Linked DNA regions of Styela clava. The protein of the gene in region 1 interacts with the protein of each later gene in a biochemical or structural test. Links are inferred from orthologs where the notes say so. Each region holds a gene or a part of one and is shown on either strand. Other genes may lie near its edges.

The links.
Region 2: the proteins of phosphatidylinositol 3,4,5-trisphosphate 3-phosphatase and dual-specificity protein phosphatase PTEN-like (region 1) and large ribosomal subunit protein eL27-like form a complex in vitro, tested with the Homo sapiens proteins (2 studies listed by BioGRID). The link is inferred for Styela clava from reciprocal best matches to the Homo sapiens genes PTEN and RPL27.

What each region holds. Positions count from the first base shown.
Region 1 is NC_135260.1:11,755,942-11,763,747, forward strand, and holds the start of phosphatidylinositol 3,4,5-trisphosphate 3-phosphatase and dual-specificity protein phosphatase PTEN-like, read right to left. Parts: upstream 3,549-7,806; 5' UTR 3,436-3,548; coding exon 3,357-3,435; intron 2,212-3,356; coding exon 2,127-2,211; intron 1,449-2,126; coding exon 1,404-1,448; intron 1,328-1,403; coding exon 1,284-1,327; intron 1-1,283. UniProt on the Homo sapiens protein: Dual-specificity protein phosphatase, dephosphorylating tyrosine-, serine- and threonine-phosphorylated proteins.
Region 2 is NC_135250.1:23,438,434-23,446,681, forward strand, and holds the start of large ribosomal subunit protein eL27-like, read right to left. Parts: upstream 3,171-8,248; 5' UTR 3,111-3,170; intron 2,903-3,110; 5' UTR 2,894-2,902; coding exon 2,813-2,893; intron 1-2,812.

The sequences.
Region 1 (7,806 bases):
TTTTGTGAAGATATATTCGCTTTTTTTGTAGTTTTTCCCTTGCATGAGAAAGAATTTTTTTGCAACAAAAGGGGGCCAGGGAAAAAAAAAGATTGAGGCGCTGGGCTAGACAATCTCTTGGCGAGAATTTAGAGTTGAAATCATAATCTATGAAATATATAATAGGTTAATGACTTAAAATTCGAAACAGTTTTGATCAAATTGGATTGAAATACAAAAATGTTTCTCAGAACTATTTCGAAGCTCTATTTCCTAGGGTTGTAAAAAAAAGGTTCATTTCGTTTTATTTGTAAAAGGGCTCGTGTATATTGAATATTAAATTAATTGGAATCAGAATCTCAAATGCAACTAAATGAATAATAAACAGACCAACCTCAAACGGAGTTGCATAACTTAAAAATAATTGATTTTTTCGGTAGTAGGAAATGACTGATTGTGCATATTAATCAATGTGCTGATTATGTAAATTTGCAACATAGGTTACGTCAATGTTAATAATCACCCAAGCTACTTCACAAGTCTTTTTGCAATGAAGACCCAATATTTTATATAAATCCAACCCTATTAAAATGTTTCAAACTTTCCTTATATTTTGAAAGATTGCTATTTTAATTATCCTGGTGACTGAAATATCACAGATCAATTTCAAATTTTTTAAACAGACTCTATTAATAAAGAATATTAGGATACAAATATCTGTAACCAACAGCTGAGTATTTTTTATACTCCTTTGGCTCTGAACAAGGCTCTACACAATCACTCACTGCTACATAAGGAGTTATAGTTTGGAATTGCAGACCCAATTTATTACGCCTCGGGTGAGGTGGCGAATGAATATGAATGCAGTGGGCCACCATTTCTACAAGAAATACAGCTACTATTTATTGTTGAGATTACAGTAAAATTGGGTGCAAAATTTAAATATTGAGCTATGTTTACATCTTTATTTTAACAACAATTTTTCGCAACTTGAATTTTTCCAATAATTTTCCAACATAGTATATTTTTGGGATATTCAATATTTTAAAATAGTTTTAAACCGATATTTTTTTAAAAGCTATCTAAATCAATTAATATTTATAAGTAAGATTAAGGAAAACTGGCTGCAAGATTTAAATATTGAGCTATGTTTACATCTTTATTTCAATAACAATTCTTTCTCAACTTGAAGAATTTTTCCAATAATTTTTATCATGGTGAATTTTTAGAATATTCAATATTTCAAAATAGTTTTAAACCAAATTTTTTTTAAAAAGCTATCTAAATCAATTAAAGAGATTTACCTCTTTTGTGAAACTTTTCAGTATCGTATGTCCTTTCAGAACATCTGTAAATAAAAAAAAAATATGATATTTATACAATATATACATGTGAATATATTATGACCATTAAAATGTACTTACAAATTATAAACTTTATAGTGGCCGGGATGCTTCGACTCAAGAAATCTGAAAAAAAACAAAGAACGATATTACAGAGTAAAATACAACACAGTTTTTCACTTCTCATATTAGAATATGATGATTTACATCTACACATTAAGTCTTCAGATTATTTCTTATGATCCTAAGTTTAAAGCTACTCATGTATGAATGAATTTCATGGTTGATTTTTTGGTATGTACATTTATTCACCTCTTATTAATAATGAAAGTAGCTATATATTTCATTTTAATGTTAATCACTCACTAAACAAACTTCAGATTAAAATTGACAGAATAATTTGTAAAAAAAGCATAAATTTCAAGAAAAAGCATAAAAATTTCAAAAATATCAGTTGTACCATACCAATGGAGTTCATTATATCAGGTTGATAATAAGCATACACCGTTGATAAATGTAACATCAAAGCAAACTTATCCCCAGCTACTGCTTCATAATGGCCCAAAAAAGGATTGGAAATTCTAATTTTCAAGGCAATACTGCAACCACATGGCTGCATGTCCATAACAAAATTGAGCTCAAATAACAATCAAGTTTTAAATTTTTTGCAACACAACATACAATGTCATGCAAAAATCAGCCAATATATATATACCGGGACTCATAAAAATTTGAAAATCAGTCTTTTTCTTCTGCAATCAATCAATGAATTAAACCGAATTTCGTTTTTCAAATGTTACTTACTTGACTACATCATCAATATTATTCCTGTACAATCCTTCAACTCTTTCTGCTGGGAATCCCATCGCAAGAATATTTGGACAGATATCTGAATGAGAACAAAAAAAAAACATAGTAATTTTTCTGCCAGTTTTCCGAATGCCTTAACTTGAATACTATGAACCAGTATATCAGTCTATCATATCAGGGACATAATATATTGACCCTACGGCTTTAGTTCAGTGGAATTTGAGATTTTATTTTGCTTAATTTAGACTTCATGAAAGAACCGAGTCAAAAATCATCTTGCTTATAATTTTTGTTCTGCAGTCATTTCGTAAGCATTATTGTGCTGTTATATAGCATTTATGATTCAACACATTCAAGACATTATATCTACCGTAATAAAGTTACCATCAAATCTCAAATGTGATAATGAAAGTGAAAGTTTTAAACATCTGCTGAAAACATTATTGAAAAATATTCAAACAATGATCAATATTAAAAAAATACATTTTATGTGCAATACCATAATCGTTCACTGCTACCTGGTAATCCTACTCTCTCTACATTCCCAAATATAGGAAATAAAAATATAATTTAGTTTGCCAACACTGACAGGACAGTCATTATTTTGATAATAAACCAAAATACTCTTCTTGAATTCATATTAAAAATTTAGTACAACCCATATTTTTGCATATACCTGTATCTGTATGTAACAATTTCACTGCTACACTGAATGCTGACAATTACAGTATTTTTGGTTTTAGCAAAGATTCCCAATGTGACAGAGTAAAGCATGGCACACAGCAACTAAATAATTCCTAGCCCTTGCTATATATATGTATTGGAGATTCTTTTTGTTTTACCTTAGAAACTTTAGCAATAGCAGTTTTCATCATCTCTTTAAAGGCTATCAGAATATTTAAAAATAAAACTACCATATCATAAGGCGCACTGTCAATAAATTGCTTAGATTGGGTTTTTATTCATACGAAAGGTGCATTGGGTGTTACTGGTTTTGAGTGTAGGCTATAAGGAACTACCTGATTCAAACACGAGGCGTTCCAGCTTGACAATTTATTTTTGACGGAACGAAATATTCAAAGCGTATCTTATGCTCCATAAAATACTGAAATGAATTAGTCATGCAAATTTGATATAAATAACTTGGTATATTACATGCATAATTTTTTTGGCACGTTATCATCAGATTTGGCCTATATTCGAATATGAAATCTATCAACTTACATGTGAGATCCAGATCGAATCCTCCTTCCTTATATCTTCGTTTCTTCTTACTGACCATAGATTTTATTGTGTTTGCCATCCTGATGCTGAATAATATCCACGGTTATCCGATAAGGTATAATTCCTGAGTTAAAATTACTACGGTATTTCTATTAACAATCCTTTTATTAATAACTATCTATTACACTGTGACAATAAAATAGAGAAAAAAACATGAAAACTTGAATTAGTTATACAGGGTGCTCAAAGAGTCATAAATGAAATTAGATAAAAGGACTTTAAGGTGCTTTGTTCAATTAACGGTGAGTATATTATTTATATGTGTATTAAATGTAGTAAAAAAAACTATTTAAATAAAACAAACCTGGTCAAGATATATCAAGAATCAATTTATAACAAAATTTGGATCCAACAGAAATATAAACTTTATACATACCATTAGATTAGACGAATCAAAATCATTCCATTCACTTTTTTTTATAAATTTTTAAATTCTTATTCCAATAAAATTCATAGTTAACCTAATTTCGTCGTGGATATGAAATTGAAAATGAATCTACTTTGCGTCTTTGGTATATACGAAGTTCATAATAGACAAAAAATTATTGAAGCATGACATTGACAGCATTGAAACTTTCGTTTTAGATTATCTCGCCAGTCACACTTCACTGATTATTAGTGGTAGATTACAATTGCTACCATATTTGCAAGACCCTGTGTGAAATTACATGTAATTTCAGAAATAGGATAAAAATTAAAAACCACACTAAAAAGTATTCAATTATGTATTAAAAACTTAAACAAATTGAAAAAATCAAGACTTTTACATTTCTACACTGCCATCAGTCAAATTTGTACTTTTCAGAAATTGAAATAACAAACCTGATACCACGCAATGTATAAATGATCAAATTACATTCATCATTAGCTCGGTTTTAAACGTTCAAATATAATTGCTATTTTAAAAGACAATATCGTTCCATATCATTTTTTTTAAAAGCAATCCACTGGACGCACCCTGATGTACAATGCTTTATAACAGGTATTTATAGCCTCCTAAATTTACTTCCTTGTTCTATCTCTCTCTGTTGGTATAATTAAGTATTTGCAGTAAAAAATTAACACTGTGACACTACAGCATAGATCAGTATGATTTACTTTATTTGGTTCAATGAACTCTATGACCTCATGCAACCCACACTATGACTGGTTGCATAATATTTCACATATTCGAGAAGGAACCTTGTCCGATAATATGCATAAATATTCACATACATATATATATAGATTATGTCAGTCAAGTGACAATAAATAGACTTGGATGTATATTCTTGCTAAGTCTATTACTTAGCCACACTAGTTTAACTACACATGTTTAAAATGTTCACTTAAGTCATAGAACCGATAGATGCATAACTGTCCTTAAGATCTAACCTGCTGTCAAAGTGGCAGCCCAATATGCTCTCTACGGGAGAGGGAGGCCATTCGAATGGTGATTGGAACCATATAACCATCCCTACCTCTAACCTAAGTGTTGGTAATAGGTATGGGCACGGTCAACCAGGTATTTTTTATTTAACTGATCTCTGATAGTTAGTTACAACGAATTATGACAGTTTAATATACATTCACTTCAAAAAATCGCTAGACTTTATCCTCTGTGGCCTTCAATTTGAAAAGAATACCAATCCTAATTGTTAAACACCAAGGAAAAGCTAAACTGGAGATGTTTTATTTGATTTAAAGCAACAATGGATAACCAGTCAATTTTGTTTGATAAGAGAACAAAGAATATTAACTAAAATTATCAGCCCAAGTGGGAATGACTATTAACTATCCTAGGAGTTTTCTATTTTCTCACCAAGAACAAATTAACATACTATGGAATCCAATTTACTTTCAAGCAACATGCTATAATCCTATCATCTTTCCAAATGGATTTATAAGCATAATATCGATTTTGAATACATCACATTATAAAGCAATGGTATAATATAAATTTTAAAGCAGGTATATGCTATATAACTATAAAATTATCACTTTAAGTATTCGGTATGAAACATTGATTACTACAAAATTATAAAATTCAAATACTGATAATAACCCATAAGATAATCAAGATTATCATATATCACCACATACGGGTACTTCATTCAAATAGCATATACTGCAAATTCATTTCTCCTGAATCAAACCATCCTTCATACAATTTGTCATAAATCATGATTCTGTTGCACAGGGGGTGATAAAAATAAAAATCCCCAATTTCACAATTTGAAATTCTTCAAAAAGCATCAAAATATCAAGAATTGAAATTCGTTCAGACAAAATTCCTCCAATGGCTTGGCATCCACACAACAAAATTGCGTATTCAGAAATATCCTATTTATAAAACAACCATGGAGTATTAAATGTAGATATACAACCATTACATATGTATCAATGAATAACGTCATAGATCAATAATTGAGTATTTAAATAGACATGCCATCGCATGACAGTTTATTTCTATAGAAAGAATGAACGACCTTTCTTACAAAAGTGAAAAACGATTAACAAAAATATTATATCGATACATCACATGTAATATAAATAACCTTAGTTTCTATAACCAAAAGGTAAATAGGGTGTATTTGACTAAACTTGATTATGCAGTACGTTTTTAATGATCTTTGATATAAAAACCAAATCTCTTGTGAATGTCATAATAGAAAGCTTCCATTGTTGCACTCCTAATAAATAACAAAAGTTATGAATTGTGCATAGCTATAATGCCTTATCAAAAAATAATCTAATTTCCAAGCTGTTTATTCCCAACACAGCTGCTGAAAGATCCTCATTGATGATTTGAATTACCTAGTTTTTGCAAGTAATCACAGTGTATTTATTTGCTCACTTTAACTAGAAGTAGATAAGATGAATCGAATACTCAGCTTGAATCGATCGTAAAAAATGACAAAAAATTTTTTCAAAAAATACTTATTACAGAGAATATCTGAAATTAAGTAATACTAGAATCTATTTGGAATTGATTGTATTCGTTATTATTTAATTGGGAAAATTTAGAATAGTTGAAATTTAGAGCAACTGAAATCATGCTGCAAAAATAAATTTTTGAATAGAGAGAACCAATCACATAATTTTTCATCTTACTTAATTGTATTAAAAAATTTAACATCACTCCTTATAAGTTATATATCAACTTATATGTGTTATTTGATGAACATAAACTAATTTAGAATATCCAATATTATACAGTGTATTCAGAATAGTATATTAATCGGTTTTCGCCATCATAGCTTGTTTTTAAGCTAGAAGTACAAGTTTATTGAGACATTGATACAAATGAGTTGAATGTAGTTTTTGATTATTCTCTTATTTTGTGTTATACACATCCTCTGTATACCATAACGCAGAAATAAAATTGATTGCTCGTGATAATGGAGGAATTGAATCAATTTGCTCAAATTATTTACAAATTCAAAACGCCCACTTCACACCCAGCCTCAGCGAGCTTTTTTTCAATTTATTTACCTTACTCGAAATAATCCAAATGTAAATATTCACTTGCTATAAAATAAATAACTGGAACTAAACTAAATAAAAATATTCATAATTTCTTTTTAAATATTTCTTCAAGGAATAACTATCTAAATACTACTGATAGGACTTCTATACCCTTAACAAGAGCACAATACAAGAACTTGATATTTTCCATTTTCCACTTTTCAATCTCGAAATCATCTTCAATCAAATATGCTCAGTTTTTTATATCGAATTAGTGCATTCATTATTACTTAAAAATAAGGCCAACCACAACATCTCATCATAATTATACCAATGCCTGGTCAGGTATGGGATCGACATAGCATTCTGGTTTATCATTCCAGATTATTTGATTAATGATTTGATTAAAACAGTATGTTACAGTTCTCTGATTCCAAGAATAGCCCCGACGTTAAAATACATCAAATATAACAGTGGAGTGCAAACCCTCCCATTACAATACAGTCTGAGCCTCCATATTGGCAAACTGGGACAAGTCATGAACTAAAAGGAAACGCAATCTAAAACATCACCATTGGATTCCTCTGAAAATAATAATCCGATTTACAGTAGAAAAAGAAATTTTGCCATATTTCATAGCATTTGAGAGTTTTTAGCAAATAAACGCAATTTTGGTCATATGACGGCCGACGCACATCACAATTAATTTAAATTATTACCATGACTAGCTTGGCGTGATCAGAGAAAAATAGCATGTTTGTTTTATTGAGGCAAATGTCGAAACATCTTGGAATCGGAAGCTTGCAGGAATGTTTTTTTGAACCTTGGCTGCTTGTGGTCAAGCAGCTGGTTCGGTCTCTGAGGTCCACTACAGATTTACGACACCACTTTTCACTATGTGTTTACATTCATTTTATCTCTTCCATTGTATTTCATCTAAGTA
Region 2 (8,248 bases), on another chromosome or scaffold:
TTTTGGATTGCGTAGTCAGGGGAGGGTTGTGATTGACATATGCTGACATGCAAACATTGTTATGCTACGACCAATTAGAAGTACTGGAGGTACGAAACTACATTAGACCCCACACATTTGCACACTAGCATCTTACAAACCCTTTTTCACTGTCCATTCATACCATAGACTAGTGCAATATAGTATTAGATTTATTCTTATTATGGTTGAAACACCCAATGACAATGTAGCGTTTTCCCTGCTTGAACGGGTCTTTAGATGGGCATTCCAAACAGCCTGAAACATAATACTACTGGAATCTGGTATAGTTTAGAATCACAAGTACTTCCGAATACAGTACGGCACACTATCCCGAATCCGGATTTGCGTCTACATTCCGGAAGAGCCAAAATATGAATAGGCGTCTGTGAAACCGGGGGCGTCGAGTCGTCTGCGAGCTCGATGCGTGAGAGCGTCAGATGTCTGGATATGACGTCAAAGAAAGTCACGCACAGATCGACAGTTCGGCACGGCTCTCGAATTTTGCTAATTTGATTTTCGTTTTTTACCGATGTATACTGACCTATATGGTTAGATATACGATGTATTTCTGAATCATTATATTCAGTCTACTGTTGGTAGTGCCTAATTAAAATAATGTCGCGTAAATGCAAACGTCTGTGAATAAAATAATTACTTTTAAATAATATCAAGAGATTATAAAATTATGCGTTTCGAGTAATACGTCTACGAGTCCAACTAATTTTATTATAAGTGTTTGTGACTACATGACATTGTTTGAATTGTCGTATAACGAAGTCAAAAAGATGCACGATATCGAAGTTTTTTTTTCAATAGTTAAATTAATATCGATAGTGAAACTTTGTATGCCCGTTAATACATGTAATTACAACAATTTAACATAGCATCTTCGGTTATTTAGAACTGAAACTTCCAGAACGCACAACGATTACGAATTACGATATCATTTAATAATTATATTCGAGATTTTTATTTAAATTTGAGCGTCAACAATCCATAGTAAAATAAAAGCCTCGATGATTAATTGGATTAAACTATTTTGCCAATTTGATTCTTGTTTTTCACAGACTACGCAAGTTGATCATTTGCGGCATACGAATGCATCAATGCGGCATTATATTAATTTGATTCTTGTTTTTCACCTATCTATTCTTGCATAAATCACGCAAATTAACATTTGCAGTATATGATTGCCTCGACGTGGCATTGAATTAAAATATTCTCGTATTCCGTATACTTCGAAGTTAAACATTCGCGACATATGAATGTATCGATGCCGCATTATATTAGTTTGAATCTTGTTTTTCATCGATCTATACTAGTATAAATTACGCAAATTGAACAATTGCTGCATATGAATACATCGATGCGGCATGATATTACATTATTTTGCTAATTTGATTCTTGTTTCTTGCCGATCTATTATTGTGTAAATTACGCAAGTTGATCATTTGCGGCATATGAATTAAATTATTTTCGTATAAATTAACATTTGTGGCATATGAATGCCTCGATGTGGCATTGAATTAAATTATTCTCGTATACCGTAGCTTTCGAAGTTAAACATTTGCGGCATATGAATGTATCGATGGGACATTATATTATTTTGAATCTTGTTTTTTACCGATTTCTACTAGTATAAATTATGCAAACTGAACATTTGCGGCATTTGAATACATCGATGTGGCATTATATTAAGTTATTTTGCTAATTTGATTCTCGTTTTTCGCCGATCTATTCTTGTATAAATTACGCAAGTTGCACATTTTGCGGCATATGAATGTCTGGTTGCGGCATTAGATTAAATTATTGCTTTATGAACTAATTTATCTAATGCTATATCGAGGCATTAATTTTACTGTTTATCGATTGTGTGTTATCAAAATGTAATTTTTATTATCTCTGATCCATTTATTATCGTTAACACGCCATCCTATCTACATTGAAAATGAGAGAAACACGGCACGCCAAGGTTTACGTCGAGGAACGGTCGATGCGTGCCTGCGTGCGTCGATTGAAATTCAGTGACGTCACACGCCGTCAATCGTTTTTTTGCTCATTTCTCTCGAACGCACCGGTAAAATTTTTTTTACATCGGTAGATCTGATTGTTTTTTCACGAGGAATTCAATGGTGATGGTTTTAGATTGCGCTTTTTGTTAGTTTACTGCGCAGCTTCAATTTATCGATATCGGGAGACAAAATCCGCCAGACGTCCATCGAAGGAGGGGTATTCGATCACCGTTAAAATAGGTTTCTCTAAAGCGAGAGAATGTCTCTCGATCTGTAAAGTGTGCCGTACTGAAATACTATTTTACTAACGAATTTTGCGTAAGTCATTTCTAATCCCTATCTGACTCCATCATCCAAAAATTACATCACTACAACGTACGGACGTAACAATCATGTCATAGAACTTGACTAAGTTTATCTACAATCGCCCGAAATGGCATCTGCGCCTTACTAACGCCAGCGATCTCCCTCATATCCGGATCGCTACGGCAAGAAATATAGCTTGCTCGTAATCGTCTGCGCGCTTTTGATGAACATCAATATACTTTAGGAGGGCCTTATTACGCCACTACAATGATTTTTGGTGACGCAGTCAGGTTGGGGTTACAGGGTTAGAAATGACATATGCAAAAACTGCTAAGCCAGGCCAACTAGAAGTACTTCAGGTACGAAACTATACGGTACCAGACCAGACCAGACCATTGGGGCAAATTAGTTCTATGACTCACAAAGTTGTATGCAGAAACTTGAATAATACAATTATAAGTTGGGATAAATACCTTTACAATGATGGCTTTTCTGCCAGCGTACCTCCCTTGAAGGACAATCACCACCTTGTTGGGTTTCATAAACTTCCCCATCTTTGACGCCTGTTTAAAATACAATATTTTTAAAACATCAACATGCTGGCTTTTTAGTCATATTTCTAGGAATATTCTTTCAAAAGCATTGGATATTGTACCGATAAAGCATAATTCTAGATCCAATCCATATTCTGAACCAACATAATTGATTGAAGCAATGGCCAGTTGGCCGATTTAATCGGGTAAAAAAACTTGATAATTAACGCATACAAACCTACAGACGGGACCGTGAAAAGGCAGGCAAATCGTCCTGTTCAGGTTTTGTTGACATACGGCGCCATCCAGTGAATGGATAAGTTACCTTTTCCAAGCGCAAGGTGAAGCAGATGTTCATGAATATAAATTTGCCATATGGTCAAATGTTTTTTTCTGACCATCAACCAGTTTCATCTGGCAATAATTGGACACATTAGTGGACATAACGATCGTTTTAATATTATGTTGTTGTTATTGTTATTCGTCATCATTATCATTAAAATATCGCTTTTCTGGCGCGGCGGTGTGGCTCAACGGGCTAAGCGTAAGGAATACGCTCGCCACCGCACCTCTAATTACTCTGCGTGGATTCGCAGGTTCGAATCCCACGCAGGGATGGTTATGTGCGAGAGGATTACTGGACTCCCTGCCGTCGTTGGGTGGTTCACGTAACCGCTGGTCGGTTACGGCTTCCTCCACCACCAAGTCCATGCTTCCGAAAAAACAAACAATATAACTAATCCCATACCCGATCCCATACCCGGAATGGTAACCGGACGAGAGGCCGTGGTTCGCCATATGGATAAACCGTCTTATTGGCTTTCCTCTCTCCCGGGATAAATATGTAAATCCTATCCTATACTGGACCAATTGCATTGAAATTTTCAGTGGTTTAAGATGGAATTTTTCTCCAGAAGACTATTACTTTTGGGATAGGATAGGATTTACATATTTATCCCGGGGGAGAGGAAAACCGATAAGACGACTAAATCATATGGCGAACCACGGCCTCTCGTCCGGTTACCAGTCCATGTCGGATATGGAATTAGTTAGCCAGTTGTTTGTTTTCGGAAGCATGAACTTGATGGTGGAGTAAGGCGTAACCGTCCAGCGGTTACGTGAACCACCCTACGGCGGCGAGGAGTCCAGCAATCCTCTCGCACATTATCATCCCCGCATGGGATTCGAACCTGCGATCCCACGAAGGGTAATCAGGGGTGCGGCGACGAGCGTATTCCCAACGCTTAGCACGATGCGCCACACCGCCGTCAAACTTTTTGTGAATCCTATGAGATTTGCTATTTTCATCAAAAATTTCGCTATTTATTAATTATTTTATTTATTATTCACGACTTTTGCTAGTATCCTGTTTGACTTTTATCTCACTTTGATTTAATTTTTAGACTCACTCCCCCAGGATGACGCTGCTCGATAACCTCTACTGGTTTATCGCGCCTCCCTTCACACTGAAAGTATTGTTTTATATGGGATTCGTAGTTATTTTTGTCTATTGTGTACTTTTGGTATGTGATAAAATAAACCACTGACTGACTGACTGACTATTATCATTTAATCATGGGAACACGATTTTTATTCTGGAAATTCTGGAAATTCTTGCTCAAAAACTCAAAGATTTTTAAGGTTATCGGTGTTATATATTATGTTGAGCTTACTATCATAGCTTGTTTACTACTCTATCTGCTTGTGTGCTATATTGTTACGTCACAATGCTGTCTAGTGCCGTAAGTTGTTTTTCCTCTGTTTAGAGGTCTTTTGTTCTGAACTAAGTTGACGGACGGATGTCCAAATAAATAGCGTGCAGTTTTGTAATGAGTCTGTATTCATTACTTGTTATAAAGATATAACAAATTGGCGACGAGGATTAAAAAGCCTTTTTGTGCCGTTTTGTAGCCATTTCTTGGGGAAGGAAGGAAGAAAAATATATCGAAGTTACAGCTTAATTTCGAGGGTAGATAAGAGAACAGTCGCTGGACTGCGACGGAGTTAGAACTGAATATTGCAGCATAATCAGTGACTTTGGATATTCATAGTGAACAGCATTCACTGGACTGGGAACCCAAGGCCTGTTATTATATTGAATTAAACGGCAGTAAATTATTTGAGCATCGTTGAAGCACGATTGCAACTGTTAACAGAATAATGACGTCAGCATCATTGGAAGTTGCGCAATTCAACATTAATCGCCCAGACGAATGGCAACAATGGCTGCGACGATTTGAAAACATGTGCCTCGCCATGTCGGTTGACAACGCAGAGAGAAAGAAGGCGTTATTATTACATTTTGCGGGACCTGAAGTTTTTGACCTGCATGAGAATTTGCCCGCACCGCCGAATGCAGATGAAAATGATAATGTTTATGCCAACACCGTTAAGAAATTGGATAATTATTTCGTGCCAAAGATAAACATTGATTTTGAATGTGATGTTTTCAGGAATGCAAAACAGAAATTTGGCGAAAATATTGATACTTATGTGGCACGTTTGCGTAAATTAGCTGTTACCTGTGATTTTACGGATGCTGATCGTGAAATAAAACAGCAGGTTATTTCTGGTGGATGTGATTCTAGAGTTAGGGAAAAAGCTCTACAGCAGCGTATGTCTCTTCGAGAACTTCTGGATTATGCAAAAAGTCTAGAACAAGCAAAGCAACAAACAAAACAAATTGAACAACGTCACACGAGACCAGAGAAATTATATGAAATTGATGTGCAGCGTGAAAAGAATTCCGATAGCAAATTCAAGCCTAGAGCACCACAGCTTTCTTCGGCTAGAGGGGGTAAGTCTCTTAGATGTTTTCGTTGCGATAGTTCTAAGCACTTTGCCCATGAATGTCCATTTAAAGATGCCAAGTGTTTTAGTTGTGGTAAAAAGGGCCATACCAAGAGTGTGTGTCGATTCAAGAAATCAAGTCAGTATAGACACGGCCAGAGAAGTAAACAATGTAATTCTCAATGTTGTATCGCTGATGATAAGAATACGCCGGGCGAAAGTGAAACGAATGAAAACTCTGGTTCATCATACGAATTACATCATACAGTGTCGTCCGTGCAAAATAACAATGTGGGTGTGAAATGCAATCCAATCTATCTTGATCTTGACATCGATGGCAAAAACATTTCTTGGGAAGTAGATACAGGGGCTACACTATCTGTCATGTCTTTAGTGCAATATAAAAAGTTGTGGCCAAAAGCAGAATTGAACCACACCGATGTTAAACTGTCTACATACACGGGGGAGTCTATTCCAGTAGAGGGAGAAAGGGATGTTACTGTAACGTATCAAAATGGTAACCCAATGGTATTGCCAATCACTGTGGTAAGAAATAGTAACCGCTGTAAACCATTGCTGGGGAGAAATTGGTTGAAACATATCAAACTTGATTGGAATTCAATTTTCAAAATTAACTATTCTGATGTTAAAATCAGTACACTGCTTGATAAGTATCCTGAATTGTCTTCACCTGGATTAGGTTGTGCAAAAACTGAAGCTAAATTGGAGATTGATGACAGCGTTAAGCCTAAATTTTATAAACCACGACCTGTACCTCTTGCACTCAAAGAATTGGTCGAAGCTGAACTTGATAGACAAGTTGAAATCGGTGTTTTGAAGCCATGTAAAACATCCGATTGGGCTGCACCTATGGTTACCGTATTAAAAGCTGATCAGAAGTCAGTTCGGCTCTGTGGAAGTTATGACTTGACTGTAAATAAAGCAAGTCGTCTCGAGCAGTATCCATTGCCAAAGGTGGATGAATTATTGACTAAATTTGCTGGTGGGGAAAAGTTCTCTGTTATTGATCTGAAAGAGGCATATCTGCAGATACCATTGGCAGAAGAGAGTCAAAAGTACACAGTAGTTAATACACATAAGGGATTATTCACGACAAATCGTCTTGTTTATGGAATATCAAGTGCCCCAGCTATATTCCAGAGATATCTTGAAACACTGCTGGGTGACATAGCAGGTGTAGGTGTTTTCCAAGACGATATTGGAGTAACCGGTTCTTCTGATAAAGAACACATAGCCAGATTGGAAGAAGTTTTCAAGCGTCTTACAAATGAAGGTCTAAAAATTAATCCAAACAAATGTAAATGGATGGTTTCGGAAATTACTTATCTTGGATATCGTATAAATAAACTTGGAGTTCAACCAACTGAAGATAATCTGGGAGCTGTTCTGGATGCCCCAGAACCACAAAATATACATCAGTTGCGCTCATATCTGGGGATGCTTAATTATTATGGTAAATTCATTAAAAATTTATCAACTGTTGCTGCTCCTTTGTATGAACTTCTTCGTTCGAATGTTCGATGGCACTGGAATAAAAGGCAAGTGGAAGCTTTTAAGAAAACGAAATCGCTATTGTGTAATGCTCCATGCCTTGCTCATTTTGACGGAAATGCCGCCGTCATTGTTTCTGCAGATGCCAGTCCTTATGGAATCGGAGCAGTTTTATCTGTAATAACGCAGGAAGGAGAACGTCCTGTGGCTTTTGCATCCAGATCTTTGTCAAAACCAGAGCGTAATTATAGCCAATTGGATAGAGAGGGATTAGCTCTAGTATTCGCTGTTACAAAGTTCCATTCATTTTTATATGGAAGACCGTTTGTTTTGGAAACTGATCACAAGCCACTTCTCGGTTTACTTGGGAAGAATAAGCCACTTCCTGATGCAGCTCCACCGAGAATGATCCGTTGGAAAGTATTACTTGATGGATATCAATACGAATTAGTGTATGTTCCAGGTAAAAACCAAGCCAATAGCGATGCACTAAGTCGTTTGCCTTTGCCTGTTAAACCGGATTATATACCGCCTTGTGGTGATGTAGTGAATCTTCTTGAAGCAGTCGATTCTACCCTTGTTAAAGTTGATGCAATTCAGTCTTGGACGAGAAGAGATCCTGTACTGTCCGCAGTTATGCATCATACTCAAATGGACTGGCCAAAATCTTCTGACATAGACCCAGAATTACAAATTTATAGAAGCAAAGAGACGGAACTAAGTGTCCATGAAAATTGTTTATTTTGGGGTTGTCGAGTAATTATTCCGCCACAAGGAAGACAGAAAGTGTTGCAATTACTTCACGATGGTCATCCTGGTATTTGTTCTATGAAAAGAATTGCTCGTAATCATGTATGGTGGCCTGGGGTGGATGCTGATATTGAAGAGTTGGTGAAATCTTGCAGTTTGTGTCAACAGTTACGTCCCAGTGCACCTCAAGTTCCTGCTAGCCCATGGTCTTATCCTAATGGTCCATGGCAAAGAATACATATGGACTATGCCGGTCCAGTTGATGGGAAAATGCTTCTTGTCATTGTTGATGCGTTTAGCAAATGGCCAGATGTGTGGATTACA